Linked DNA regions of Lepisosteus oculatus. The protein of the gene in region 1 binds, or shares a complex with, the protein of each later gene. Links are inferred from orthologs where the notes say so. Each region holds a gene or a part of one and is shown in the gene's direction. Other genes may lie near its edges.

What was found.
Region 2: the proteins of fgfr2 (region 1) and fibroblast growth factor 8 are in contact, whole or in part, in a crystal structure (PDB 2FDB), measured with the Homo sapiens proteins. The link is inferred for Lepisosteus oculatus from reciprocal best matches to the Homo sapiens genes FGFR2 and FGF8. Residues at the interface, in NP_000132.3 of Homo sapiens: Glu160, Lys161, Glu163, Lys164, Leu166, His167, Ala168, Val169, Pro170, Asn173, Asp247, Val249, Arg251, Ser252, Ser282, Asp283, Ala284, Gln285, Pro286, His287, Ile288, Gln289, Ile291, His293, Leu309, Val311, Leu312, Lys313, Ala314, Ala315; in NP_149354.1 of Homo sapiens: His53, Val54, Gln57, Asp62, Leu64, Ser65, Arg66, Leu68, Ile69, Arg70, Tyr72, Tyr75, Arg77, Gly80, His82, Val106, Glu107, Thr108, Thr110, Phe111, Gly112, Ser113, Val115, Thr148, Glu149, Ile150, Val151, Leu152, Glu153, Asn154.

What each region holds. Positions count from the first base shown.
Region 1 is NC_090699.1:29,539,851-29,555,149, reverse strand, and holds the start of fgfr2 (fibroblast growth factor receptor 2), read left to right. Parts: upstream 1-5,681; 5' UTR 5,682-6,394; coding exon 6,395-6,456; intron 6,457-9,239; exon of another isoform or gene 9,240-9,300; coding exon 9,301-9,476; intron 9,477-15,299. UniProt on the Homo sapiens protein: Tyrosine-protein kinase that acts as a cell-surface receptor for fibroblast growth factors and plays an essential role in the regulation of cell proliferation, differentiation, migration and apoptosis, and in the regulation of embryonic development.
Region 2 is NC_090699.1:35,820,587-35,835,885, forward strand, and holds the start of fibroblast growth factor 8, read left to right. Parts: upstream 1-7,626; 5' UTR 7,627-8,711; coding exon 8,712-8,743; intron 8,744-8,830; coding exon 8,831-8,867; intron 8,868-10,251; coding exon 10,252-10,432; intron 10,433-14,998; coding exon 14,999-15,105; intron 15,106-15,299. UniProt on the Homo sapiens protein: Plays an important role in the regulation of embryonic development, cell proliferation, cell differentiation and cell migration. Required for normal brain, eye, ear and limb development during embryogenesis.

The sequences.
Region 1 (15,299 bases):
CTGGTGTCTGTTTTGAAGGAAATGGTGATTTACATAATCACAATTCACATTCTCTTTTAAATGAAGTTGAATTTGGAATAGTACAGAAAGGACTTCAAAGCCTTGTGGCTTTATGGAGATGTTTCCGGAAGAGAAGAAACAGCTTCTTTGCATGCCCAACCTCCCACACCTTTCATTTATGGTAATAATTGCCTTTATTTGCCTAGCAAATGATGTTTTTCCATAAAAGACACTGAATATCTTTTAATGTAATTTAAATGATCTGCAGGTGTGCAATGTATAACTGTTGCCACATTATTTAAAATGAAAAAAAAAATTACATTTCCTCAGAACAGTTAACAACGTAGCAGCACCTTAATTAAGATTTGACTTATAATGAAGCAGACAGTTATAGTGTTTATATCTAGAGTCAGACATTTAATAGATTCACTGATAAGAATGAGTCAGCTGGACAGTCTTCAAGGACTCCCTTTTTTATTTGGAGATAGCTGTCTGTGGCGTTAATTGACAGCACTAGTGTTTACCAGGATATAGATTATTTTTATTCACCATGTTTTCACAGACTGTTATTCTTCTTCTTATTATTATTATTATTATCATCTGTACACCAAAGTTCTTGGTGAAACAACAATTGTATTTTATTTATATCACTTTAGTCTCAATATTTAACTTTACTTCCTGCTTAGATCATCAGAAAGGCGCAGACTATGAAGCAGCGGTCAGCAGAAATGGCTAACAGACAGAACTGACCTGGCTTTTACGGCTCCTCATTAGTGCTGTGTCATCGTGTCACAGAAAAGACATAAATTTAATGGTGCCTTTTGCTGGGCTGTGTTTGTGTCTTATGAGTGTGCAGCCATGTCTGTGGGTACAGGTGTACAATAAATGTGTGCATGAATGCAACTGCGATCTCATGTAAGCACATCACTGTAGTGTATCACAGTAACGGCACTGTACGGAAGTGTAGTAGGCCATACCAAACGTAAGGCAAAGAAACAGCTGCACAAACAGTTGGAAACTACGGAAAAAGTAAATGTGAATGCATAGTAGACAGAAAAACATAAAGCTATTGGCACTTCGCAAATTTACCATACTAACATTTCATGAGGCATGCAGAGCCTGAGCGTTAAACCAACCTGATCTAATGAAACTATACAATGAGAAAAGGGAATGCAAATAAGACATAAAATAAAAAAGTAATAACGCATAAAATTAATACTGCAGTTTGGTAACAATGTCACAGTCTCATCCACAAATTCTAAACTTGTGATATTAATTTTCTAACAGTATAGAAACAAATCTGCTGCCACTGATGGGTTGCCTGTGTTGCCAATGGGCCTCAGTAAGGAGCCTGCAGATTCTCAGGAGGTAATACTGAGTGTCCTTTACCGAGAGCTGAACCATGACTAACGGGAGTACTGTGAGAGCAGGATAAGGTGCCAATTGGTCACCGTTGTTAGCACCTAGAAAATGCATTCAGTTTTCAGGCAGTGGCTTCAGCCATTGACACGCGAAGAGAAGGCTCTTTCACGACCTCTTCTGCGGGAGAGATGAAGCTGTTTTCAGGCAGGCTGAGGGGAGAAATGCCGGATTTGCATAAGAAGGTTGATGTCATCCATTTTGCGGGCTCATGTTTTATGCAGCAGAACTTGTTTTTGTCTGTGTCATTAGCAGGCACAGGGGATTCACTGAAAGCCCATTTCAATGAGAAACGTTTTGGATTTTTTGTCCTGTTTTCATAAATCTCATAGCCACTAATGTCCATGTCATTGCAGTTTTAGTACATCTCACCAAGTTCCTTGTATAGTTTATGGAATATTAAGCATATTTTGGTAAGACTTCACGATAATATGTGGCTCGTCATGATTAATTCAGATTGAATAAAGGAAACAATACAACAGTGGGATCATGAACACAGGCTATGTAGTTTTAGCAGTTTTTTTAAATAAAAAAACATCTTCTTTTCTAGAACATATTGTACTTATTCCCCAATGTCTAAATAAAAATGCAGGGATATTTTATTGTACATGGGGCTTTTGGCATATCCTGACACTAATACTTTAATACCAACTAACATTATCCTCAAATGAACTCTAACATAAACCAGTGCAAACTCAGACTCAGTTTTTTCCAGACAGAGTTCTTGTGAGAACATTCTACTTGTTTTAGGAAGATTTATTGAACTGGATCCATGTTTCCTGTTCGCATTTACCAGATCAAATCTTTTTGACATACTGTCAGGTGTGCTTCATCATTAACATCATTTCTTCCTCTCCATACATCTATTAAGCTAAATGGCTACTTTCTGTGCTACAGAATACATAGCTATAAACTGTTAGCTTGAAACATAATGACAACATATTTCACCTGAAGATCAACACAGAACAGTTTTCTTGGATAGAGAAGAAAGATCATTGAGGGCAAAGGTCAAAACAATAAAGGATGTCGAAGAATGTGTGGATGTATGTTTTATTTCTCTTTGCCACACCAATGTCATCTTTTGTTAGATTTGTGCCTTTAAACAATTTTGATGACTTTCAGAGAATGAGAAACAAATTTTAATCTGGAGTAAAGAGCTTTGAAAATGTCCCTGTTGAGTCTCTTTTTTTATTGTCCAGACAGAGTGCTGGATGTTCATGCCTTCCAAACATTAATGTACAGTACTGTACATGTACAGGGAAAGGGGAACCTATATGGTTCACATTAAACTCCTCCATTTGTTTTAAATTTAATGCAGGAAATGAATCACTGCCTTTATAGTGCTGATGGTTTAATTATAACATGAAGAAATACGATGGAAATTTTCACCAGGTAGTGTTTTTGGTTTGTTTCTCCTCTCCTGTCATCTGAAGCAGACCCAGTGCAGATCTGTAGGGGCTACCAATCAGCAATTTGACCCTCATCACCCCACCCCCTGAGAAAAAGGAAAACAGCAGTAGTAACTTACACTCTACTGATAGGAATGCATATAAAACATCTCCTAGACGCTACTGACATACTTCTTGCTATTCAAACGGCCACAAAAAAGAATGAGCTGTCAAATATAAAGTACCCATCCCCATACAGAGATCCTATTGAATCCACCAGTCAAACATTTGCTTAAATAAATGAATAGATTCCTCTGTGTCTAAATGAATGTGCTAAGCAATACGTATCATTTTTTTGTGAAGGAAAGTGGAACACTGCGTAACTGACCAGAATGAAAGCATGCAGAGTACATACTTTCGGTACCGGCATTCACTGAGTTGCTGCAGAGGGTAGGAATTATTCTATAGAGATCATCCACTCACTCTCTACAGTTTTTCTCACTGGGTTTAATGACATTGAGCCTGAGACAGACACCATTCTGGACACTGTTTAGGAGTCTACGCCAGGACACCCCTAGGTAAGAACATGTTGAGGTGTCTGTGATTTTGTTCCCGATCAAAGTATATGGAAAGTGTGACTATGCCATTACCAAACCAAAAAACACTCAATTTTAAAGTTCCTTGTTTTTTTTTTTCATATCCTACTTGGCTTGGGAAAATCTTAATTTGGAAACACAATTCTGACTCTCTTAGAAGTTTGCAACACTGGGATTGCCTTGCGAAGTAAAGACAACCTGGGAATCTGCACATTGGCAGGCCATCTCCTTTACAAGTATAAGCTGATAGAAGCAGAGCAATGGGTAGTAAACTGAATCTCAGAACAGCACAGCAAAGTAAATGCCCCATAATAAACACACTGACAAAACTTCAATAAGGGATGCTCTGAGAGTTGTCTGGAGGAAAAAAAATAGTGTATACTTATTGTAAAATACTTGAACGTCTACTTAAAAACAGGAAAACTACATAAGCAAATTAGAACATACAGTATAAACTTAAAAAGAAGCTTAAATGTACATAATTATCTGTATGTTTTATGAATTGGTGGGTTGGGTTGGAGAATTCTAGACCTTTCACTAATCCGTAGCTAAAGTGCTCCACTCCCTAGGAGAACTGCATGTAATAATGAGGAGAGCCCAGATACTGGATAACTGGGTAACTCCATCATCATAGGTGGCTCAAAGCTGCCTGATCAAATACGTCAATTAGACATCTCTGCAAAAAATAACTAATATGTGTGATGAAAATAGTAATGCAACCAACATCTACATACAAAAGACTGTTTGCTGGAACAGATATCAGATTTTCTCTCCTTGTGCAGGATTTCTTTTCCATCATTTCACATTTCGTTTTTTGCTTTTGTACTCTGTGTGTATAAATTGCTATGGTGTTTTAAATATCGACTTTTAAGACCTAAAAGCAAACAGGGAAACCGCTGAATTGCTTCTGCATTTTCAGGAAGCTGAGTTTTCTTTTGCATTTCAGAAGAATTGGAAAATGGGGAGGCTGGGAATAAGATGCTGTTCCTTCACAAAAGTGAGCCTCCTTGATTTTGAAGCTTTCTGTCTTGCTTGAAAAGGACTGCAAGGTGTTTCTCATCCTGCCGTATTGTCTGCAGGACAGGGGCTGAGGCAGGGCCGTGCTGTGCAATCTGTGTAGAGCCATGGCACATTATGACCTCTTATTTTCCCTGGAGAGCTCTGGTCTTCCAGTGTCGCTCTGCAGTCGAATTAGGAGAGTGCCACTGAAAGAAAGGACATTTCAATGGCTTCTGGACAAACTGGGGACAGCTCCAGACTTAGTAGAGGGGGTAAGAGAAGGAGGGGGTAAATGAAACTCAGCTGGGGGTATGGGAGCCATTGAATGGTAGCCTTGTCCCTCTTTTATTTCCCTGGAAACCTGGAGTTATTGTTCCCCTCCCAGCCCAAACTGTCACCTTTAGTCCTTGATGGCTTTACTGCGCTGTCCTGCAAGGCTCTGTGGAGAGAGGCCTATTGGCCCATTCATACCACACCCCAAGGATTCATTAATAGGCTTATTAGCTACCCCATTCACAGCCAGTGGGGACTGGTTTTTAAGAGGCTCCAGCTACTTTCACAGAAAAAAAAACTGTGAAGAGATTACCCCCCCATCCTTCTCTCCCTTTCAATCCATTGAAAAGAACAAAACTGATGTGAAAGGCAGCTAGGTCCTGCTGAGATAGTTTGGGGCCCTGGATACATTTAGGTATGTTTTTTTTCTACCATTTTTGTGATCCTGAGTACGCTAGTGCTGTGACGGTCTGATAACAGGTGGCCACAAACCCTGGTTGTCACTGTTGTGATGACAGCTCTTTGGGAAAAATAATGTCTGTGAACAGTCCCTGATTGTTTGGCTCTTAAAGGTAATTATTGGACAAGGCAGGGATGCAAGAACACGTAGTCCTGCTGAACTCTAGAAATAATAACCAGCACTAACTGCAAGACTAATAATTTAGAGAACTTGTATTACTGGGCTGCTTGGCTCACTTCCTGCTGTCTATAAAAGCTACCCCATGATATTATCTGGAAATTCTTGGGGGTGAGAAATCATCACATCATGAACTGAAGTTTCAGCACATTTGGTCTTAAAAAAGAAAACTTAGAAATCAAGCGTTAGTCGCGTTAACTCGTGGTCCGGAGACAAGAATAAAACCCTTCAATCGGCACACTATTACTTGGGTCGTTACTTCGAAGAGTTAACTTTATTGCCTGCCTCTCTGTAGCTATTATTCAGTCCGCTTGGAGGCGTTGTTAAGAACGAGAGGCTCCTAATGAAGTTGGGCTCCCGGACCCAGAGAACTTCACAATCGCCGGGCTGTGAGCTTGCAGCGTATTGGGCTCAGCTAACAGAGCCGGAGAGACCGGTGAAGTGATTTGATTGGCGAAGGCGGGCTGAGTAAGAAAGCTGCCCAGGAAACATCTCAGGTTACAGGGGGAGTGACCCTAGACCGAGCCGGAGGAGGGGGCTCGTAGAGTCAGTGATGGTGGTGGGGGGGACGCAAGAAAAAAAACCTTTGTAAACCTGACAAAGCTTTTGAGATTAGAGCAAGGTTTCTTGAAGAAGGCATACAAAACACAAGAATCGTAATTTAATGGATTTGCTCACTTTTTGGAGGTTTCATAGCGTCGCCTTTTACATCAGGATCCGTCTTTTTAGTTCTTTCATCTGAGTTTGCAGAGCTGGAAAAGAATTTATTGTTATTTTTTGCTGTTGATAAGTATTTTTTTAAAGAAAAAAAGTGGTGAAGCAACAGAGAAGAAAGTTTTCCTGGACCTCACTCGGAACTGCAGTTGTCTTCGGGGAAATATATATATATACAGGGTTACTCCGGATTTCTTGAAGGGTCATGCTTGCACTGTTCCACGGCTATCGGATTTTCCAGTTCTTCGGTGCTGTTGTGGAGAGCGCGGTGACGGCGAAGTTGGAGTAGTAAAGCGCAGTCTGGCATTTTTGTAGCGGGGAGCTGTCCCGGTGGGAGTTCACACGCATTCCTCGCTTTGATTCGGCTCATGCACACGCCTGCTGCACAGTGCATGAGGATCGGCTTCTCCAAGGCTCTTAAACGCTCAAGGTAACTATCGCTGGACCCATCGCTTGTTGAAGATGCCCAGAATAGTTGTGCGAGTAAATCTCGTGCCAAAGTAAAGATGCTTTAGCATCCTTCGTGCTGTTTGCACATGTTACCTCCGCGTGCATGACTGTTGTTTTCTTTTATTTTTGGCATGATTTTACACTTAACTCGTAACAACGTTTGAATTAGGTTTCCTGCGTACCTGTTCTGGAAGTATATGACTGAACTTTTCCCAATGGCCCTCGTTCTTTGCCAATATTTTAATAGAAATCTCATTTTTGTGTATTATTATTTTAATACTCATTATTAACATTGATTCGTGTTTATACAGTTCTCATTTCAGTGGGTTTTGTTCGGTTTTATTGAATAAAATTCAGACTTTGCTTTGGAAAGCGATAATGCATGTTTTGTAGCAATTCTCTGATAATACTCAGATATTAATTGCAATACAACTTCACTTGCAGTATTTCATTTGGGTTCTCAGAAGATGATTTGGCTGTGTTGTTATGTCCATATAACACTAATATTGAGGCGTGAAAGTGTTATTTCAAATGAAGAACCCTAGAAGTCACTAAAATATTTCATTCTTTAAAGCAAAACGTAATTTTATTGTAACGATTATAGAAGATACAGTTGCCTGATGTTGATGCCTGAGTTGAGTGATGGCCGTAAATCTCCGCGACTGACAAGCGTTTTCATTGTGAATCTGATTTGAATTTCAATAGAATGCAATCAGCGCTTGAGAACTTCACTTAGCAATCTCAATACAAATGTAGATTCTCCAAGACGCAATTACTGCAGCCTATTCAGTGCGAGCGCAGCGTCTTCCAGCTGGAAGATTATGCGATGTTTGGTTCTAAACGAGAAAAGTATTTATTGCACGCTACAAAAAAGTCAACGAAACAAAAATACGTGAATTATTAAAATAAGTATCATGCTCAGTATCTATCTGATCGAAAACCTGGTCTCGAATTAAGATGCGTAAAAATGTCATACAATTTAAAGTGAATAAAATTAGTAAATGATGTCAAGAAGTCCTGTATGACATCGATTGACTGAAACTGTAGTCTAGTGATCCTTAAAAAGTGAGATAAACTCCACTGTTACCGTGAGGTTATTCCTATCTGAAAACACTCCTGGAAAACACTATCTGAATGGATTTCTTCAGTTTGTATTATTTTTAATATATAGTATCCTCAGTATAACTTTTTGATATGTTGTTTGGTATTTTCGATTTGTCCATAAACGTGAAGAGCTACCGATTTTGACCATCGGGTTTTTAAAATAAAACGTCCTGTTATTTGTATTTCGTATTTTTACTACGATTATTTAAAACGCGTTGTAGCAAATAATGTAGGAAATGCGGTTTCATTGCCGATGTACTCCGAGAGGATTTATATCTGAGTTGTGGGGCTAGATAATGGATCATTAAAGGGATAATAATGACATTTAAATTATAAATGCTAAATCAAGAAAGTTGAAAGTAGAATTAAATTATTCACGGCAGTCCCCTCTCCTAGGAGAAAGCGAAAGATGCGGAACACGATTCAGTTTGTGTTGGAAATAATGTTACTTAATAAAACCACAATTCATATCGTTATTTCCACGCGGACTGATAGTATTTGTGTTGTGATAAATGGGACCTTTGTTGGCTGTCGGAATGGAGAGCAGTGTGCCCCTCTCTGATCCACTGACCGGTCCGTCACAGCGGTTACAGTTTCTGGAGTACTGGGCGCTGCGGTCCCCGCTGGCACCGACTTCATTTTTCCAGCATTGACGGTGGTACAATTTCTGTTTGAAGTGGCTGCATTTGAAACGGGTTGAACTCCAAATTTCTTCAGTTTGTAGGGCTTTGTTATGTAAAATAACCATTAAAGTATAGACCAAAAACATCTGTGAAAATTCTCTTATTCTAAACATTCAATCTCCAGACATATTTTCGTGCTTTCATGTTGCTGTTGTAACAGACTGTTTTAATTGCCAGATACGGAAAAAACCTCGTTAAGTATTTTCTTCGGGAGGTACTGCGTCTACTGTAGTAATTCATAGTATTTTCCAGGATAATAATCCATTAGAAATAGTTTATTAATACATAAAACTCTCTTTCAAATACATTCATTCTCATGTTTTCAAGTGTGTACCGTATTTTTTCTGAAATTAATAGAAAACCAATAGAAAATTGACTATATTAGAAAAAGATTATTTTTACACTTATTTTCTCGTCAGAAATTCAAAATGGATTTTAAAATGATTTTGAGGGAAGGGAAACAAAACCCAAATGATCTTTAACACAATTAAATGAGAGTCTGGCCAAATTATTCTAAAAGTTGAAAAGAGGCTTCATTTGCAATGCCGTTTGTAAATCCTTAGGTATGATTGTGGTCTGGCTTGTTTTGCAGCATTTCAAATCACTGTCCCATTTTTGAGACTTGAGGTTTTGCTGCCTATTACTTACAATGTATCAGTGTCACATGCTTTCAGTTTGTGTCAGAAGAGTGTAATTCAGTTTCACAAGAAAGCAGAGGCAGCAGAGCCATAGCGTAGGAACTCAAGTGCTGCCCGTTGAAGAGTTTCAAACTTGCTCGCAGGTGTTGGTAGAGACTTGGTACAGATTTGAAACATAATTGGGTTCTCCTGCATTGTAGGAGATGGTAGCTGTTGTCCAGCTCCCCTCTTGGGGACAGTCCAGGACTGGAAACGGGCATTTAAAGACAATCTGCTGGAGGCTAATTCTCTCCCTGTCTTTCTTTCTCCCTCTCTCTCTCTGCCTCTGCATCGAACAGTGCTACAGACACTAGCGCTGGTGGAGAAAGGATTGAGTGCCCGTGTTTCATGATTCCACAGAGGTCCTCAGATGGGATCTGTGTCCGGGTGGAGATCCACAGGAGCATGGGGAATCTCCGCTAGCAGGATGTCCACGTGGGCTTGCCTACTGTACCTGGCTCTGGTGTCAATGGCAACTGTCTCCTTGGCACGACCACCGTTCAACACTGAGGAGGAAACCACACTGGAACCCGAAGGTGAGCAGGTGTACTTCTGTGGCATTGCAACACACTGGCAGCTGTGTTCAGTGACAGTTGTATTTCATTCTTTTTGGTGGGGGGAGGTGGAAAACTGGTTAACTGGCACAGAGATACCATTGCTCTTTATTGAAAAAGCCACAGATTGTTTTATAAATAAGACTCAGAGTCATCTGAATGACCAGGTGATACATTTCAAGTACTTATACTCTTGGTGTTACTAGGCTTGTGGTAAAGATAGGTGTTTTGTTTATTGTATTTATTGTTTTGACTTTTGATATGAAAATGCATCAGTGGTTTTGGAATACTTTTCTTAGGATAAGTTACTTATTCTACAGTGAGATAAGGCAGAAATGAGAATTACATACAAACCTCATTTAACTCAGAACGTTTCCCCCTCTTTTCTAACACTCACATATGCATATATAAGGGGTCTGTCATCAGTTAAGAAAGATTGGAGGCTGTCTGGCTCACCAAGTGTAATCTGAGAATGAAAGAGAAAGGCAAGACCCTCATCGCTGGCTAATGATGTTCTGAATTGATAGCCCACCTGATGGTCTGCTGACCTCTGGCTGCCCAGGCTGGTGCTCAGGGCTGGTCAGCAGGTCATCAGAGGTTAAAGTAGTGAGACAGTGTGGGACTAAAGCAGACCGAGTGAGGCTAGCTTCTTTTAGTTGACAGAGCTTTTCCACTGTTCCAGCTGGTGAAAACAATCTAACTGTTTTAGCCTGTAAACAAGCAATGTACTCTATTCTAGATCAAGGCAAACAGCAGCCACACACACTCCTATTTCCCTTCAGGATCAATAAAGTCTTATCTGTCTATCTCACACCTTCACTCCGACTGTACAACAGAGAGAAACATGCTACAGGAAAGAGAAAGACAATCCCTACAGGCAACCAGGCTGTGTTCACAATGGTTTTCCAGAGCTTATTTCTAGAATTATTTTTTAGTTCTTTATATGACTTGCAAAGAGGGATGAGAGAGTTGTTGGAAGTGAACGTTAAAGGCACTTTTCAGAAGGAATACAATTATTCTGGTGAAAGCTGGAATAATTTTGTACAATTCACTAGTCAATGTTCACTCTCTCTAGGGTTGTGTGGTTAAATTTGTACTTCGCTATAGAACGAGAAAAGCCTGAAAATAAAGAGGAGAAAGCTTGTAAATGGTTTTAATTTCAATGTTATTTATGTACATTTCTTTTATCAAAGTAAAATCAAAATAGGAAGCCTTTTATTTGTTTATTATAAATGTTTCTGCTCGGTTAAACTTTTGTGCTCTTTGTTCTGACCTTGCTTGTTAAGAAAGCAGTTGTTCTATTTTTGTAACAGGAAAGCTGGATTTGATTTGAAAGTTTATCCTACAGTGTATGGAGAATGTTTTCCTTAATTTATTCTTTTTACCTATGTTTCTCATACATCACAATTTGTTAGCTGGGTTTTTTGTTTATTAGCGTTTTTATGAAAAAATAAGAAAAGCTATACTTTTCCAGAGTGCTGAATAATAAGTTCGAATTCCTTTTCATTTTATGTGAAGCTATGACATTTCTGTCATGTTCTAATATTATTTCAGAATTGTTTTTTTTAACTTGGTTGTTTTCTTATAAATCAATGAGAAAAGCTCATCAGCACCTATTGTCATCTCCAGCAGTGGTGCCCTTATCCTGATAGTGCTGTGTGTTATAGAATTGGGCTGTGTGTAATTTTCAGTTTTAATTTTTTTAAAGAAAAAATCCTTCTGCAATTCCAGTGAGAGTTCCTTTTCCAAAAAATATAAATTCTAATTCTGATAAACTTTGCACTGTGACTTCATAGGCAGTGGTATGAGAATCGCTGGGGAATTTGGAAAAGAGTCCAGTCTTGGTTGGTTTGCTCTGTAGTCGGCGTTTCCTCCAGATTGGGGCTGTCTGTAATACATAGGATCCAAAACATAGACTTGAATTCCATTATGTTTAGTGGTTTCAGGACTTCCTTTTCTGAAGTAAACTCACAACAAGCATGTGCAAATGATCTTGTTGCTTTCTCAGTGCTTCATCGGGTTGTGGGTTCAAATCCCAGGTGAGATGTTGCTGAGGTAGTTTATTCAGTAAAATGCTTTAAATACTAGTCAGCTAAATATAAAATATATATAAAAATAAATACTGGGTTAATATTTTTTGACCTGCAAATACTTTTAATGCTGGCACTATGGAGTAGTGTGGAGTGGTTCTGAGCATATCGGCACTTGTGGAATCTGCAGGAGAGAGGCCGTGGTGCAGGAATCTGCCTCTAATGGTGTCTCTGCAGACAGACAGGCTGGCAGTACGTTGTCAGTACAGCACTATGCTCAGCTGTTGCAGTGAAAATTACACCCCTGAACTGAAAGCTTGCAGTCTTCTGCTTTCACAAAGGAGTTCTGTAATCCTGTCCTGCACTATTTTCCCCTGTGTTGTACTCATTATACAGCTGCAGAGTCTTAAATGTCTTTGTGAATATTGAAATAATTATGTGACCTAGACATTAGAATGTCCCAGTAGTGTGAACGATTGGGTCAAGCTCAAGGATGCATGACTTTCTTGAGGGAGCAGTAAAACATAGCTTAACATACACATGTGGCAAGCTCAAATGTAAGCTCATATTCTCATTTTTCTTGCAATCAAATCTGGAAGAAGAGTCCTATAGAGTTTTTTTTAATTTTATGTTGTTCATTTTGTACATTGTCTTAACACGTACTTTTGTCAAGACATGTACCTTTGGCATAGCCTGTGTTACATTGCTGACTCCTTGCATACCTGCATAGAAGCATAGATCACACTGACCCCCCAGGGTGGAGTTCTGCTGGGAAATAGTAGCTGTAGAGTGATGTCACCTGAAAAAAACATGTCATGCAGAACACACCCCACTGCACACTCCAGCTTCCGCATTGCTCAGCTTATAATGCTTAGACAAGCTAAACTTTTTGTTCAACAATGTTGATTAGTATATTTATGCATGTGGGAGGTTTTCTTCTGCAAGTTGTACTTGTCTTTTAATGTAGTAAATTATGGGGAAATGGTTTAGTGAATCTGCAATGAAATATTGTACATTAGCTGCTCGCTGAGATTTTCCGGCTGGAGCTTTTGGGCTGTATGAAGATCTAGAAGGAATGCTCTTGATTCCTTTGTGTATGAAAGTTAGAAAAGGCTGAGTATTTTTTTTTGTGTGTGGAATAAGGGGGGGCCTGTCAGCACAGTGGTGTTGTGGTTAGCATTGCTGCCTTACAGCATTGGTGCCCTGGGTTCAATTCCTGGGGTGCTGTCAGTGTGGAGTTTGTGTGTTCTCCTGTGTTTGTATGTGATTCCTCTAGATCCTACGGTTGCTTCCTGCACTCCAAAGATAGAGTTGGAAGGTTAACTGACTTCTCAGAAACTTGGCCCGTGTGTGTGGTCTGCAGTGGAGTAGCTTCCTGCCCAGTTTACCCTGCCTTTTGCCCATTGCTTGCCTTGGCTCTCCCATGACCCTGTATTGGATAAAAAGGTTAGAAAATGGATGGATGGCAGGCCTGTATAGACAGACACATATGGAAGCCCAGGTTGTTTATAAAAAGCTATGAAATTGGGGTTTATACCTGGGAAATTTCTTCTACAAAATTAGACAAAATACAGAGCAGTGTATAGTACCGGTGCAGCTCAGTAGTGCCTGACTGTTCTTTTTCCCTTGAGAGAACTTGCTCTTCTGGGGAAAAACACCCAGGAAAAGCAAGCTGCAGCATGGTTAAACAGTCTGCTGCCCTCTGACTCCTCTTCAGTTGGTGCTGATGAGGACAGACAGGCCTCTCCTGTCCCAGCTGCTGTGTGCTGTACATTGGCTGCTGGTTTCAGAACCATGCTGAAAGGTTTATGAGGAAACATTATAAAACTTGACAAGCTGAAGTACTTCACTACTCTGGGCTTTTCTGGCAATTGAGAAAGTATGAGGTGAACCCTTCTGGAGGATCATATAATGGCTTTTGCAGCCCTCACAGGTCTGTATGTAAATCACGCTAGGCAATGTCCAGATAACTTGAGCTGGAAGCTGCAGCAGATTATAAACTTTGTAAACCTTAACTTGGCTTCACAGAGCTCTCCAGCACAAAAGCAATTCCTTTAGGAGCTTCCCATTTTTTTTCTCTGTTCAGACATGTTTTATCCATCCTTAATTTGAAATACATAGCCCAGACAATTCTGAACGTTTGTCAAGAGCATCAGTATAATGCCCATTGTTTCCAAACAGTTTTCATAGAGCCTTTTAAAGTGCAACTGTAACATGTTTATTTTTCATGCTCCATGCATACTGTGTGCTATGTTGTGTAATCCCCTCAATGGTGCATTATCATACCTGTTGATCAGTGGGTGTCCTGTGATGCCACTATTGTTTTATTTTCTTATAGTAAGACAGCCAAGCAAGAGCCCTTTCATTCCTTGACTTTTGCTGTAATCAACCTGTGTGCGATTTCTGCAGAACAAAGAGCCAAAGAGGAAGGGTTAAACATGAAATAAGGTGGTTAATCCTAGGGGGTTATTGTAACAGTAAAACACACATCATAAAGACAGAAATTGCTCTGAGGTCCCTGTGCCTCCACTGACAGGTATGCCACCAGCATTGAACTCTCCCATTAAACAAACTCATCCACTTGTTTGCTGTGCCCTTAAACAGCTGCTAAAAGGCTTTTATGACCCAGCTGTTGTTTAGCTCTATTTGGAGGACAATTGTCTTTTGTTTGTATTTGCTAATGTCCCAGAAAACAACTCGGTTACCTCCTGTGATGGATTTTGCAAATTGCTGATAAAACCACTCAAGCTGTAATCGCTGAAGCCCTGTTTAGCTCTGCCCATTGTAAAGCAACAGGGTGTTAGAGTCACGGCTGCTCAGAGTAAATACAGGCTTCTTTACTACAAGTTATTTCGCTCCAGTGAAATTATACCATGCAGTGCAAAAGATAGCGGCAATGGGCCAGTTTCAAGGACCTTCAAGACCTTCAGCTTTCCAAATGTGCACTTTACTGAGAGAGCAAAGAAAGGGTGTTTCTCTAGCTGTAATGAAAGCATTTTCTCCTTTACAAACCCAACATCCCCACATGAAAATGAAGGGCAAGATTTTTTTTGCCTTTCCTCAAAACAGGCACTCAGCTATTCAGTGGTCATTGTGGTTGTGTTTATATTTATTTCAATTGCAGCTTTGCAAGCAGGGTGCTTAACTAGACGTCATGCTCCTTTATGCTATCATAGTTTTTAAGTTGCAAAAATATACAGCAGTCAGGGAGGGAACTGGCGTTGGCGGCTGATTGTTGGCTCAGGGGTCCTAGGAAAAGGTCCTCTTTGCTTTGTAATGAGCAGTGTGCCACTCGGGGTGTCCTCAGATTGTTGATGAATTCACCTTGGAACAATCACCTGTTTTTTATCATCAGGATACTCATAGAAAAGACAAGAAACAAGAACAAAAAGGCTCAGCAAATAAGATGATGCTCGGGGGAAACCTATCTGTCCACTGCAGACAGCCACTTGACTTCTTTTGGATTTTAATCTTCATTTTTGACAGCCACTATTATCTAAGGAGAAATACGTTTGTGTCCATTTAGATTTCTAGTTTTCTGTGTGAAATATTTGGCTTCAGGGTACAACTGTGTTGCCCTAGCCAGGATTTGAACCTGCAATCTTATCCACACACCACATAACAGTCTTAGAATAAGCACCTGGTGCTGGGTATGTAATGCTTATTTTCCCTCTTCAAACCTCCTAAAAAAGTGCATAGGTGGACGGAGAGCTAAAGTATATAACATATTGGTTTCTTGCTGCACAGAGAGACTCTGCAGACCAGTGTCGATGCT
Region 2 (15,299 bases), about 6.3 Mb from region 1:
AACTCCTCCATTTAATTAGATCATTGTAATTGAACTGATTGTGGAAGAGTCTCACAGAGCTCTTTTTTCCTTATGAGTATCAGTAAAAGGGTGAAGATAAACAGTACCTAGGGGATTCTCATATTATTTCCGCAGTTGCTCGTTACAAGACCTATGACCGTAAGTAGGATTTTCAGTAAAATGGTAATAATCATCTAGTTTATGACAATTAGAAGCTGACTTTTTCATATTTTAGTCAGTTATTGATGAAAGATTTGGCTGGTAAAAATAAGTTTGATTATTATTAAGGGGTATTTATTATGATTTTTATTAAGTGACAGTTCTCAGGATATGAAATGAAAGAACCTTAGTTTTAGTTTAAAAACATAAGAATATTTAATTAATTATAAGAAGGAGTTGAGTGTCACCTTCATCAACATGGCTGGTTAATGAGTTCTGTAATACCATAGACCTGATTGGATAGCGGCTTCTCTTTTCGATTATACTATACAAAATCCTAAAAAATCTCTTTAGATTAATAGTGCATTTTTTGCTTTGTTTCTGTACTGTAACCTGCTAGGATACTTGTCACGTCATATGGCCCTGCCTTGCACCAGATGTTGTAGACTGCTGTATCCCTTTTTTTTATAAATATATCAATTTTATGTGTGTCACTTAACGAAACGTGGATCAAACTGTGGTTTGAATATTTTGAGACTGATCAGTCTGCTGTGTCATTAGTACCAGGCTGAAACCGACATTGACATGTCTTGTGCTTACCGTGCCCCCACTGAGGAGAGACAGCCCTCCTCCCTCAGTGTGTGTCCTGGTGACCTGACAGATCAGGCCTTCTGGAAGTGCAATCAGGCCCCGAAGGCAAGCAGTGGGCAGCCAGAGACCTGCAGCCCGGCACAGGGCCTGGCCTGCCCTCTCTTAACCCCCTCTGGATTGACATCCATCACAGCCTCACGCAGCAAGAGCCTACACCCTGCCTCTGTCCCCCTCTCTCCAGTAGGGTAGCCATACCCATGCCTTTCAAGAATGAGCACTGTACTTGCTGTCTTCCTGAAAAAAGGTGCACTTTGAGATGATATAAAATCTGTCCTGATGACATCATCTGTCAAAATTAAAGCTAAAACTGATAAACAAAGCTGCTTTCCACTATTAAAACTCTGGAGAAAACCGATGTTTGAAACATTTGCTTCCAGCTGGTTTCTTTCAGTTTGTCTGTTGAGCCTGACAAGACTCCACTACACAGAAACTAGATGTCAAAAATAAGCAGTACGTATGAAACCCAGACTTGACTTTAAAGCAGAGATGGAGAAAAGAGCAGTCTAGGAGCCTGTCAGCCAAGACACAAGGCTGTGTAGCGCTGGTCTGGAGTCAGGATTTGTACAGATGTATGTACAGTATATATAATGCAAGGTTGTGGGTATTGTTGTGTCGGAAGTGCCCGCTCTTTGTTGCCTATGTTTGCATGGATCTGTCATGCAGACTGTGTGGATTGTGGGACTTCCATGGAATGGGATTAAAAATAGTTTCTCTTTGGGGGGGGGGGGTCCACCTGGAATTGCCCCCTCCCTCGTCTAAACACACTACATTCCATTGGCCGAACAAGGAGGGGCTGCAGCCATAAAAGCACTGGTGGCATGTAGTGTGACATCTTGATCACATTTGTGTTGTCTTCACTTTCAGAACTGCACCTTGGCTCTATCAGCCGTGGTGTGGTGTTAATTTACCATGAAAACCCTGCACATAGTTTCTCCAGCGTCCAGCAGGACACCCGCTGGAGCTGATAGCAAAACTCCCCTGAAATGTTCAACAGAGAACGGAACTTGAAATGTTTCTCTTAGTAACTGGCTTCTCTGAACTTTCCAGATACTTTCATTGTGCATAAAGGCTATTTTTTATCCACATTTCCTATAACTCTTTACCATAAATCCTTTAAGATATTTTGAAATTACCAATACTTTCTCCTGACTTTGCAGTTGTTCTTTAGTCAGTTAGGAAAAACTGATTTCATTCATTGGTGGAGGTTCCTAGTGTATGAAGTATGAAGTATGACAAAAAGTGTATGTGAAATGATACTTGACCTGCAGTCCACTGGTCTTCTGTTGTCATAGGACAAATGAAAAAATATTTTACCTAGAAATCTGTCTGCATTACGTTTTCTCATTTTAATGTTTTCTTGATTTTCTTTTTCATATCACATGTCTAGCTTTTCCCAGGATACAGTTGATTGATAAGCTAACCCAATTAGATGTATTCATTTTACTCATCTTTTCTTCTCCATCTCTTAACAACATGGTCGGGTAGTTTTTTTCCATACTCTCACTACCCTTTACCCAGAGAGTTGTGGGAGTATGGAACAAACTACCCAGCCAGCCAGGCTAATGAAACGGACACTTTGGCGTTTTTCAAGAAACAGCTGGAAGAGATCCTTGGATCAATTAGCCACAAACTGCCAAAAGGACCAGATGGGTCGAATGGCCTTTCAGTTGTAACTGTTCTTACAGTCTCAGTTCAGCCTTATTTAGTTTTCCACGCCGATTCCACTCAAACACTGAAATGCGAAATGCCCTTGTTTTGAGTGGTAGCCAATCCAAGGCCGCCTAATTCTGAAGCCCTTGGTAAAATTAGTCTCCCATCTCCTTCCGCCATGCCAAAGATACAGAGGAACTAATCGGCACCACATCATCTCCAGTTCTTACATTCCACGTGGCCAGGTGGCCTGCAGCAATTATTTTTGTTACCGGCTTTTGGTTTTCGGTCCGACAGCAAACTCTAACTTGTTTTTTAAGAGTTCTGACAGAACACGCCTGATTGTGAAACCATTCGCACTTTAACAGCCCATTTGATCTTAATGATGTCTGAAATCAGAAAGTTCTTGAACCAGCCGATGTGGGCGCTGGGGCAGAGGGGTTTTAATGGTTACCGAAGAGGTCCACAGGAATATCCCAGACTGTACATAGGAACTGTTGCCGAGTTTTTATTCTCCTTTCAGATTAGCTTTTAACCAAAATAAAATGAGTGAAACGCTTTAGACAAAGATGTTAAGGAGCTGGGTTTTTTTTTCCAGAGCATTCACTGTCATGGAGCTGAATCAATTGTGATTCAATCGAGCATCTCTTCATGATAGGCTCAGTTTCTGTGCAGTCTGCGATTAGCACTGACATATCGTGAGGGTGGGAAATCTTTATTAGGGCTTATTTGCGCTGAGAATTGCTAGTGTTTGCTTCTGTTCGTTGTGTGTGAAAGTCTCTACCTCAGGAGCCCACCCCCACCCCCCCGCACACCCACCTTTGAGTGCTTTATGTGCTGTGGGTCGAAAAGAAAACCCATTTCCCATGTTAGTCATCCTGGACAGGTTAGCCATGGAGCAGCAGAGCGGCTGCTTTTGGGGTTAATGGGGAGCCCGGCCCGGCCTCAGGCTATGCAGAAGTGCTCAGCCATGGAGCATGAGTGTTGACTTTTGAATGGGCCATTAATATCGGGCCACTTCAAGAGAGAGAGAGAGAGAAAAAAAACCGTACACATCAAAAAAACAAAACTGGGGCTTTAAAAGAAAGCAATTCTTGAAAGAGGAAGAAGAGGCCAATGTGTAGGCCTCGAGTCTTGTTTGATTTCAGGGAATGCTTTCAGGACTTCCCAAGTGACTGGCAAATCCCCCTCCCCTACATACACCCTTTTTACCTCTCACTACTGTCATAAAATCAAAAGAACAAGGCCCTGTCACGGCCCTAACACTCCTCCCATCGAATGTGGTAGCAGTCAACATTGTGTGATGTGGGCCACCCACCCGTTTTTATAGAGAAAGGTAAAGGCACTACGTATCTATGAACTACTTATTAAAAAGGCGTCGGGAGTGCATTTGTTTTTCTGATCTATGCATCCATTCTTAATCTGCTTTTCCTGACGCGGGGCCATGGTGTCTTTTGTGATGTTTTGTTTTAAAATATATATATATATTGGTCTAACGCGTTTGATATCTCAGACTGCAAAACTAGCACTCATCCATAACTGAAGCAAAATCATTTTAATTGACGAGTTACCGCTTATCGGATATTATCTAAACGTTTACGCAATAGGGATTACTTCTGCCCTCTGGCGGACAATCTTTATTACTGCGTTTCTCACGAGTGCCTCGTTTACTTAAAGGAATTCTGATGACTAAGCAACTTCCCTTCACTGCATTATCATTGCTGTTTTGTTCACATCCCATTTTTTTTACATTTCTAATCAATTATCATGATAAATTTGTAAACAAAAGTGAAGACGTACTATTGTCAATGTATTCTCTGCTTTTCGCATTCAGAAGGTTAAAAAATATAAAAATTCCGTATGTTTGTCAATTAAAAATATAATAATGTATCCTGTACATATCAATATCTTAATTAGAACAAACATTAAATTTGGCAAGAAGTAAACGTCTTACTGCATAAGTGTATTTGTACAAAGCTACTTTTTAATTTGTATTGTGTTATTGTGCTATGTTAAATGCACATCTGTTAGTTATCCAAATAATTTCAAGCCACATTTAGGTTAGTTAGCGGCCTAGGGGCGGAGCAGCAGCTAGGTTAACAAAGTACGCGTGATCTAAAGGTTAATTTAATTACTTCTACATTACATGCTTTGCAGATCTAGAGTTGAGCTCAAGAGCCAGCTTTCAGCATTACACACATCGCCCAAGATTTGTTTGTTTTTTAATCCATGGAAAGAATATAGCGTTGCAATTTATTAGCAGTATTATTTTTTTGTTTTAAAATGACCGTAAAGACATTTAAAAAGGGGAGCCTATGGCGTTGTTGAATTTGCTGTAATTGCCTTTTCTGTCCCAGAGAGTAAAGACGCGCAATTTGTATGATTTGTAAAATAAGGTTCTTCAAAACAATTTATAAACTGTATTTTCAGTCATGTTTTTTTATAAAACGGTATCGGGGGAGGGGGAAGCTAGAATCAAAATGATGTGCAGTATTAAAACAAGGCTTTAGAATTGCTTTCATTGGTTTGTATTCATTACTCTTGGAGATAATAGTGAAAGTAAAATATCAAACTTATATTTTTTATTTGTGTTGGTGGGGAGTTGCACATCTGTTTCAGAGCTGATAAGAGTTTAGATTTCTTAAAATAATTGTAATTAAACTTAGCGGAGCTCTTTGCGTTTTCGTCTCCCGGGGGTATGTAGAAATTTTAATTTTATGATCCCTCTCATACCGTCATTCACGCGCTACAACGCTAGATGTATTTGCGCTTTTCATGTGTTCGCATAACCAGCTGAACAGCTGAAATCAGCAACAGTCACAAGTAACTCCGCAATGCCAGATAATAAAGATACAAGCCCTGTATTCTGTGCGAGAGAACGAAACTGGGAGTCCCAGTGTCCAGCCTTTCTTTACAAAGACGAGAAGAGATGGTACCTGCATGTTTGTCTTTCTTTGCAAATAGGTGTTTAATTAACTCGAGTACCTGCAAAGAGCAATTTGCATCTCGGGCATTGCAGTCTTTGGTATAATTGATTACCAGCGATCAGTCAAAAGTAGACTAACCGATGTCTTTCAATTTGAACACTCCGTCCTGAAGGACATTTAATGGGTGCTGAACAGTGCCAGCTTTAGTCGCTTTGGGGGTCAAAAATTACTTTTGTGGACCTTATAGGGTTGCGCTAAATTGACAGGCGTTCGTTACTTTTTTTCAGTCGGTGAAAAGATAGCTCTTCTCATTTAGGAAACAAAATGTTAATGGCAATTATAGGCTTTGATAAGATAAAGAAAAGATGGACAGCAGCGAACGAAGCAGGAGCTTCACATCGCAGGTTTACAGTAAACTTCATCCCTGCCAATCAGCTAGGCACAAGAGTCTAGGAGAATAGGATCTTAAAAAGACGAACTGGCCGGTTCTCAGGTCTGTATGAAAGGTAGTGGTGTTTTGTTCTCCGAAGTTGGTCCGCGCGGGTTCAGCCTTTTCAATTTAAGGAAGCTAGAAATTATTACCTGTGTTCACACAGTAGAATAGAACGAAATTCGCTACATACAACATATCACACTGAACGTGGCAAATCTAACTTTGAAAATATTGTTTATATAGGATTTTTTTTCAAAAGAATATAATATTACTCATAAATCCTCTGGTAAGTGTAAGGTTTGAAGATCCTTGTTTAAAACAGCAAAATGTATATATGGTGCTGCTTTAATTGTAAAGCTCGTGGATTCAAAAAAACATTTGAGCATACTTAATGATGGAAGTTCAGCTGTGCTGAATTCTTATGCAAGATATAATTTCTCATTTTTGAAAAAAAGTTGCAAAAATGGGAACAACCCCTCAGAAATTCATATAACTATTGCGGTATAAGTATTCTTAATAAATGCATTTAAATTTAATCGGCTTAATCGTTGTTTTGGTAAGGCTACAATACTATTGGCTTCTGGTTTTACGAGAATAATAGATATTAACGAGGGTAAAAAAGGCCGTTAAAAGCCACATCGCTCTGATTAAATCAACTTTGCAGCCCGTCATTTAGCTAGAGGAGTTATTAAACAAAACCGTCTGGGTTGGCTTGCAGTATTAAAAAAAAAACAACAATCATGGATACATTCATCATGACCTGAGCCATCATTTAAGAAGCAATGATAACTTTCCTTAATAAAATGGTAGTTTAAAGTTAATGTCGTTTTTCTTGAAAATATAAAGTCTCTCAATGAAAAAAATTAGAAAGTTGCATAATGTATCTTAATTTACCCTTGGCCCTCATACAGCGTTTCATTTTCCTTGACGTGAAGCATATGAACGCTATCGAGTTATTGAACGACAAAGCTTCTTTTCTACTCTTTGCCTGTCCTATAGATATAGACAAGCTACAAATTTGGATTAGCCTTATCAATAGTGAGTGGTATGGAATTAAGTCCTGATTACGAAGTGTGAGAGTACTAGTGTCAAAGACACTAGATTACACTGGATGGAAACTTTATATAATTGGGGATTTAGAATTGGGTCCTTTTCCCCTTAATGTGTTTTTAATAACCGTTCTCCTTGGATTGTTCTGCGTTTCTCGTATCATTTTGGAGCTCCAGCAAGCGTCTTAGAAAATGTGAAAAGACGAGGCGAGAACAGGGCAATTTAAATAGTTGAGAATGTGATATTCCTGGGGAGGCGTGAGTGTTGTTGTTTTTTAAAGCTGTAACGTTTGTAATCCCTTTAATACGTCTCACACATTTCTTTGGTAACGTCACCCCAATACACAAGTCGGCTTTATCAAAGTGTTTCTGCATCAACTGGGCATCATTATTTTCTTTTAAAAATCATCAGAACTTCATAATTACATGTACTTTTCTTTTTTGATACTTCAAACAAAATAGCTTACGCTTGTCAAGTTTTAAAGTCAGCCATATAAGATAAGGCTCGAAACGTGCCTTTTTTTCCCAAAGTTTTCAAATTAGGCTACATTTTTTTACTCCCGTTTGGAAGATTTTCCATTATTTAGGCTTATAGTCAAATGTATCGCCGTCGTAAAATATGTTATTTTATCTAGCGAACGTCCATCTAATCCCTCTGTCACACTCACAAAAAAGTGTATCTTTTCAGGTTTCATTTGAAAGCATTGACCTTTGTATTTTTTCGTTTTACCTACATGCGTTTTTTTTATTTTGGATATGTTATAGCTCCTCCCGTTTTCACTGAAGTGTTCGCTTTTGTCCAGGTGAAGGTATATTTTGATTGGGGGCAGCTATTGTTCTAGAGCGAAAGAAAAGGAGGCTGGTACGGAGGATCTTCCTACCATTTTAATCAGGGGTGCAGGCGTGAACAGGGGGTTGACATTGGAGACTGGAATGGGAGTAGAGGAGGGGATAGGGACTGGATAAGGACTCAGTCAAACACTGCTGCTCACAGAAGCAACATCACCCAGGGCTACTATTACCAAACGGGATTGCGAAAACTGCCACTACTGACCGACTTCAAGGAAAATCACTACAGGATCCTAACAAATTTATCAGGACAGTAGAAAAAGAAGTGATTCACCAAACAGAAACGCCTCGCCAAGGATTTTTCTCTGGGAAAGATTTTTTTTCAGTGTGGTCGTGACACGTAAAATACAGTACTTACTGCAACTAACTCTGGGGAAATACATTGGAGGTTTTTATATATGCGTATTTATTTCTTTTCTACGCTCTTCTCTGCATTTTCGGCATCAAGCGTTTCGTCCAGCTCTGAAAGGTGCTTCTGGTGGATACACGTTGTCCACGTTTTTTATTTATATATAATTTTAAATTATTGATATAAATTGACTTTGACGCTTTTATGAACAATCAACGTCCCATTCTGTCAATGAATTAAACCTGTTAGGGGGGAGAGAGTATAACATTGGATGATCCTTGTCTTAAAACGGATTATTTCTCCGCTGTCTTCAAAGACATTGATTTGATAGATATTTTCTTTTTTTCCTGTCACTCTTATCTTCTCAATTGTTCGTTTTTTGTGGGTTGCTGAAAATTATAATATTTCACCTTATTCTAACGCAAGGATTAAGAAGAAATAAAAATACTACGACAGTTGCCACTGGGCTGAACAGTATCTCCCTTCAGTTGTTTGTCAGATAAGAACCGCTATCTCCTGCAAAGGTACTGAGGGATTCTTGAACTATTTCAATTGCAGAAGGGGGCAAATTTGTCATATTTTAAATAATCTTCAAGGACAATCAGGCCATTCATTTGTTTCTACTATTTCAAAGCAACTTCAAAATGAGGATCATACCTTCAAGATTAAGCTACCTGTAAGTACATTTGCTTTATCCTTGATTTGTTTATAATGTTTCTGAAATGTTTTAAGTATTCAGCTATCTTCTTTTCTTCTCTTCCAGGATACTTCACCTCCTCGCTTTATGCTTCCATGCTCAGGTATGTCCCTACCAGACTCTGCTTTTTAATTATGTTTTAGAATATTGTATATGGATTGACTTTGTTCAGATGAAACGGTTGGAATTAAGATAAAGTAAAAGTCAATATATTATTTACGTTTGACTATAAATCACTTGAAACGTTTCATTAACTTTGTCAGAGTATATGTCTGAATACACAATATACTTTGGTATCAGAGCTGTCATCCGTGGAGGGCGTAAATATGGCATTTGTATTAAATTGTCATAATGACATCAGTGAATTATCAGCATATCGCTTTTCACGATATGTACAGTGAAACATGTTTCTAAGACGTCAGGTGATTCTCAACGAAAATAGTAATAAATATTGGAGTAAATATATATGTTTAAGGAAGTGCACTGTTATTCTAGAATATTAATGACGTGAATGTGTGTGCCTATATATATATATGTCTGCACACACATCTTGAAAACCCGTATAACTAGGAGAAAAAATGCGATTGCTAAAACAGATGGGACTGGCGTATGGCTGAAAAATTGACAGAGGATCGTTAAAAAATACGGCACAGGTAGAAAGAGAAGAGGGTGTAAGATAATTTTATTGGTAGGATAACAATATATCAGATGGAGATCCTACTGAGTGAGGACAGCGGTCTCGCCACATGCTGTACTCGTCACAAGCTGGCAGGCATTTCTCTAACCATATTGCCCCTCGTCTTAAAGGAGAAGCTAGGGCAGAAATAAATGTGCCAAGAGTAGGTTTGTGGAGAAGGTCAAGGGGGGACTATTAAGGCCAGTTTTCATTCACCAGTCCCCGTTGTTTCTTTAAAGCAGACCTCTCAATTTGACATGGGTTATTGGGAGTCCAGCTTGATATCTTCTCTATTCCTCGAGTTGACGTGAAAAGAGAATCACCCTTGAACATTTGCTCAAAATCCATGCAAAGTACACTGTTCTTGTAACAGGTTTAAAGATCAGCCGTATATACGGTGCTAATCTTCTGAGACAAACCGAGGTATCCTGCACACGGACTGCTAGTATAAATTCCTATTTCATATTTCCGGACAATACAATCTCGGTTACAGTGATTTTCTGTTTCCTATAAAAGTTTTCCACAAGACAATCCATATACAATGTCCTGTCTTTTGTCTTTGAACTGTTTTTATATTAAATGTACTTTAATTCTAAGATTTAGGTCATTATGTAGGGTACGCATGTATTTAAGGGCAATCTCTTTTAAGAATAAGAGTCAATTTGCTTAAATCCTTACACTTATAGTTGAAGAAAATATACATATCATTGTATATAGTTATTTTTTTTTTTGGGGGGGGGGGGGTGGTTCAGATATTCTTCAAGAGATATGTAAAGGTATGTTGTATATTTCTTTTCTTAATTTCTTAAAGGTAACCATTCAGTCCTCGCCTAATTTTACACAGCATGTGAGTGAACAAAGTAAGGTGACTGACCGGGTGAGCCGTAGGCTAATTCGGACCTACCAGCTGTACAGCCGGACGAGTGGCAAGCACGTGCAAGTTCTGGGGAACAAGAAAATCAATGCCATGGCAGAGGACGGCGACGCACACGGTAAGACCTCTGGTATTTCAAATACACAAATGACCCTGCACGGGGGAAGGGCCACCCAGAGATCACTCTCAAACATTTATGACTGAAACTTGCCATAGGTGAAGCAATAGAGGCTAATTGATTCAGCTTCATCAAATGTGGTTGTGAACACAGCGCGTGTTTTAATAACATGAGCCGCTGGAAAGTACATCTGTTTTGTCTAAGTCACTAGAAGTAAGGGGTTATTTTATTTGGACAATATAAACAGAGCGCTCATTCTTACGTTGAAAGTGCATTGGGCATATCATGCTAAAGGCAGGATCTAGTCATTTATACTTTATACCCTGTTTCCCTTGATTTGCCAGATTGTACGTGTTATTTCCGTATTATTCCTCATTTCTCATAATGTTGTATGTCTGGCATTAGTTCAATAAAACAATTAGAAATCTGCAAAATATGCATAATTGCAAACATTACACATTAAAGATCGGTATAAAATGTGTATAGGACAATTGGCTATATAACAAAAGGTGATAACAGGAAATTATATAAAGGTATACAATTCCTAATGCCTCACTTTACTAAAAATGAATGTGCCTGAGGTGTACTCTTTTAATGTATAGACATTTTTTTTATTATATATAATGATATCTTTTAAATTAGATAAGGCAATAGCTTAAATTTATGAATAATTATTGAACGCCAATAAAATAACAGAAGGCGTTAGAACATAAAGCATTTTTCTGGAGGGAAAATGAACCGTATTTCAGCTGTTGAAGTTGAAAAGAGGCCGCCGACTGCAGAAAATGTTAAAAACGGTTTCTAGATTATTCTGAATGCGATTCTCAAGAGAGAGCAGTATGTCTGGAAGAATCATTAGAACTCATCTTACTTTAACCTTCTGAACATTTCCTGACTAGCTTTCCCCCTTCTTCGGGCCAGTTTTAGGATCAAATATGTCTAGCCGCATTTTAACCTCTAGACTAACAGTCTTTTATACTTTTTATTAAAAGATTTTGTATACCTTGTAAGAAATGGAGGAAACAATCTAAACCGCCCAGCAGGTTCATTGCGCACGGGTCTTATAATTGGAATAACAAAAAGGGCTGACGTCTTGACCAGTTATGTTTAACTAATAAAAAGCTATGAAGACATTCCCATATGTACCCCTAACCTGATAAATTTATTACTCAGAGCGGTCTATGGTAGAGAAAAAAAATGTCACAGTTTGTTTTCCCAGTCACACTTTTTCGGGCGACCTGAATTTGCACACGTGCTGGACCATGGATGGCACATAAAATAATCACAATTAAAATCTGGCATTCACTTGATTCCACTCGAGTAAATATCTGAAATGTTGGCATTAGCGAAGGATACCCGTTAGCTCGGCGGTCATCACCGCCCAAGTTAAGCGTGAAACATAAATTCAGTTACCAGTAGTTGTGACACCGTTTTGATGTAGCATTTAATTGTAAATGTGTGCTGCTGGCTGGTTCATTTACATTTAAGTGTGTTAATATTGACAATAAATGCAACGATAATAATTATCATAATAAGAAACACACCCGTTTACTTTAAGAACAATCTGGACGAGGGCTGATACGGCAGAAACGATTGCGGGTTTAAATTTTCTGTAGGTTTTCGGTGTTAAGCGAAGGCCACTTCCTAAGCATGATCTCCCCATGCAGTCAGTAAAAATCAATACTCTTTAGACCTTTTACTGCCTACGTGATTGATTTTCCTGCCGTTCCTAGATAGAATTAAGGGACATTTTCTCACTTATTCAATTAAAAAGCTGGCCCTCGCGCTGGTAATAAACATGCTAATAATATTTACAAAGGGTTTTCTCAACAACCCCAAACAGGAAATAAAAAATAAAATTTTAATTGTGCTCATTTTAATGAAAAACACATCAGCTTTGTAGAGGACATATATGTAAAATACTTCTAGAATATATTCTTACCAATTTCCTTGCCTTTTGCATTTATTATTGATCATTCAAATTTACCCTAGCATAGTCTTTGTAAGCATTTTGAAATCAATACTCACTTAAAAATGTGTTTTTATAATGGCGCCGATTGGTAGTTTGGGTGTGTGTTCTTCCATATGACTGCAATATAAATGAGATTATGAATCAGAGTTAATTTTTCTCTGCTGCATGTTTAAAGAGTTGCATCATCAAAGAACTCCTCTAGTTTGTCCATCCACACACTGTGGTGTGTTTTGGTCTGCAGGGATTGCTGGCACTTTAGAGTTGGAGGCTTTGAATAAGAGTGCAAGCAAGTTGGCTAATGAAGCTGAAATCTCATATTCCCTATTGTATCTGTTTTGGGTGAAAACTACAGTCAGGTATTGTTAAAGTTTACCCGGTGCGTTTTTGGCAATGGCAGCATCGTGTGTCTCCCTTCACACAATATAGAAAATAATCAATGGGAATCTTAAATGATCCTTGTGTAAGAAATGACCCAGATTTGGACATGGGTGGTCTGGCGGAACGCATACGATGTCGCCAGACCTTTTGTGGAGGTTAGAAAGGTGAATGTGTCCTCAGATTGAAGTGGCAACTTGAGGCGGCGCGGGTTCTTCTGAAAGGGAGAAAGAGGAAAAAGCCAGAGATCCAGCAGGAAAATTCCAAATTACTCCAAAAAGATCCGAGGTAATCGGGTCGGCCTAGTGACTGACCCACCCCCCTTTGCCCTTATGTTTTGAAGCGCCATTGATTGGGAATTTGCATTTCTTTTGTTTGCAACTCAATCAATGGCTCCATTAAAAACTGAGACTAAATCAATAGCTTCTCTTGACTTGTATAGACAAAAAGGTGAAGCACACTTAGACGGGTTTTTCTTTCCTGGCCTGCATGTCATTTGCGACTGTTGCAAATGACAAGTTGCTGAAGGCGTAGGCCAGATCCACTCTGCCGGCCTGTCTCTCCTTCTGGGTTTGTCAGGAGAGGAAGAGAGGGTATTTCCAGAGACTGGACCCCCTCTCAGGTGGACAGTTTGTCCTCTAGGTAGCATTTTGAGAATCATAGGACAGGCAGAAATGTCTTTTCTCCCCATACTTCTCTCTGAATAAAACAGTCTTCGGTAAATAAACAAGTACAAGGGTGAGCACCTGCTGTCTGTAAAGCATTGAATGAATCATTTTATTTTCACTTGTGTTTAATCTTTATTTAACCAGCAGGCTCCCATTGGAGATTAGAATCTCTTATTTCAGGGAGGATCTGGTCTTGAAGGTCATTCAATTAACAAAGATGCATCGCTCCATTATTAACAAAAGCAAGGTAGTGACATCTCTCAATTAAAGTTTAGAATTATCAGGCAAACCCAGAACAATATCTCGTCTGACAATGACTTACAAGAGCTGAAACTCTAAATGACAAAATAAAATCACAAGTTTTTGGTCTCCATTAGGGTCTGATAAAGAGCTTTATTTCCTGTAACAAATCTAAAATCTAAAAATCCCTACTCCTAGCACAGTTTCAGATTATATTTAATACTATAATGACATCTTTTTCACAGCTAATTTATACACAAAATAAACAGCATTTCTGTTTCCATTGTATAGGTTTTCCAATATAAGTTTTGGATAATGAAATATTACCTGATTTCGAGTTGTATTATTAATTTTAAATGTCTCTAGAACAGAATACTACTCATGTGAAGTGTAACATTTTGGGTATTTGCTGTAGAAATATCACTACTGTTTTTCAAGATCTTTTTTTTTCAGAGAGCATCAATTTAAGCTTAAAGTTGGATGTTTGATAAATTTCGGCATACATTTTTCAGTATTCTTTAAAACAGATCAATTGACTCTAATCAAGTTTTTTTATTGTGATAAATTCACAACAAAACTACACTCAGAAAGCAAAGTGTAATCATCATTTCTTCATAGGTTTAAAAATCAGTAGTTTTTAAAGGAAAACAGCTTATGGTATGTAGTAATTATAAAGGCCATGTAACATTAACATGTAACGGGGGGTTAAAGGACATGTTTTGAAGTCTGTGATGATTTTTATCTTTGCTCATTCTTTTGAAAAATAGTGCCACTTTCCTATGGTTAAAAACATTTAGAAAGAACAAAGTTTTCTATTCCCAAATTCAACCAAAGTTAGACCTGAGATAGAAGTATAATGTACAAAGTAAAAGGCTCATTTCAGGAAGTGGCAGGTCTTCAGAATGTCTTTTTCTTTGTCAGAGAAGTGTGCTACACATGTTTTTATCATTTTAAAAGAATTTAAGCTTGCATAAATCCTCAGGTATTACAGACAGGCAGGAATGGTCCCTACAGATTATAATGTGTATATGTGTGTGCTTTAGTAATATGTGCATATTGTTAAAGAGAGCAGTGGTTTGTGGTGAGGGTTTAAAATTCTTTCTGAGGAGATACACAGTTACCACACTAAGGGGACCCCAAAACAGACCCCTCTTGCCCAATCTTAATTGGTAACTGATGGCAACTGTACATTTAATTAAACCTTGGGTGAGAAGTGTGAAGCAGGGGAAGGGTTGCTTACTGTTTGTTTTTGAAAATAATGTCATACTTAAATAATGTCATACAAAAAATACTTTTCTTTTCTATCCCTAGCCAAACTCATAGTGGAGACGGACACATTTGGCAGCCGGGTTCGAATTAAAGGTGCAGAAACTGGATACTACATCTGTATGAACAAGCGAGGGAAGCTGATTGGCAAGGTAGGTAATAACATTTGACCCGATTCCTTTCACATATCTTTTTATAAACGTCCATGAGAATTGCCAAATTCTGACATTTGGTTCTTTCATTTGCTAACAAAATCTAGAGGAATTTCACCTTTTGAACAATGTTTACCCTTATAATTTACTCTCTTTTCAAGCAAGTATGCCTGAGGTAATGTAACACACTTTAC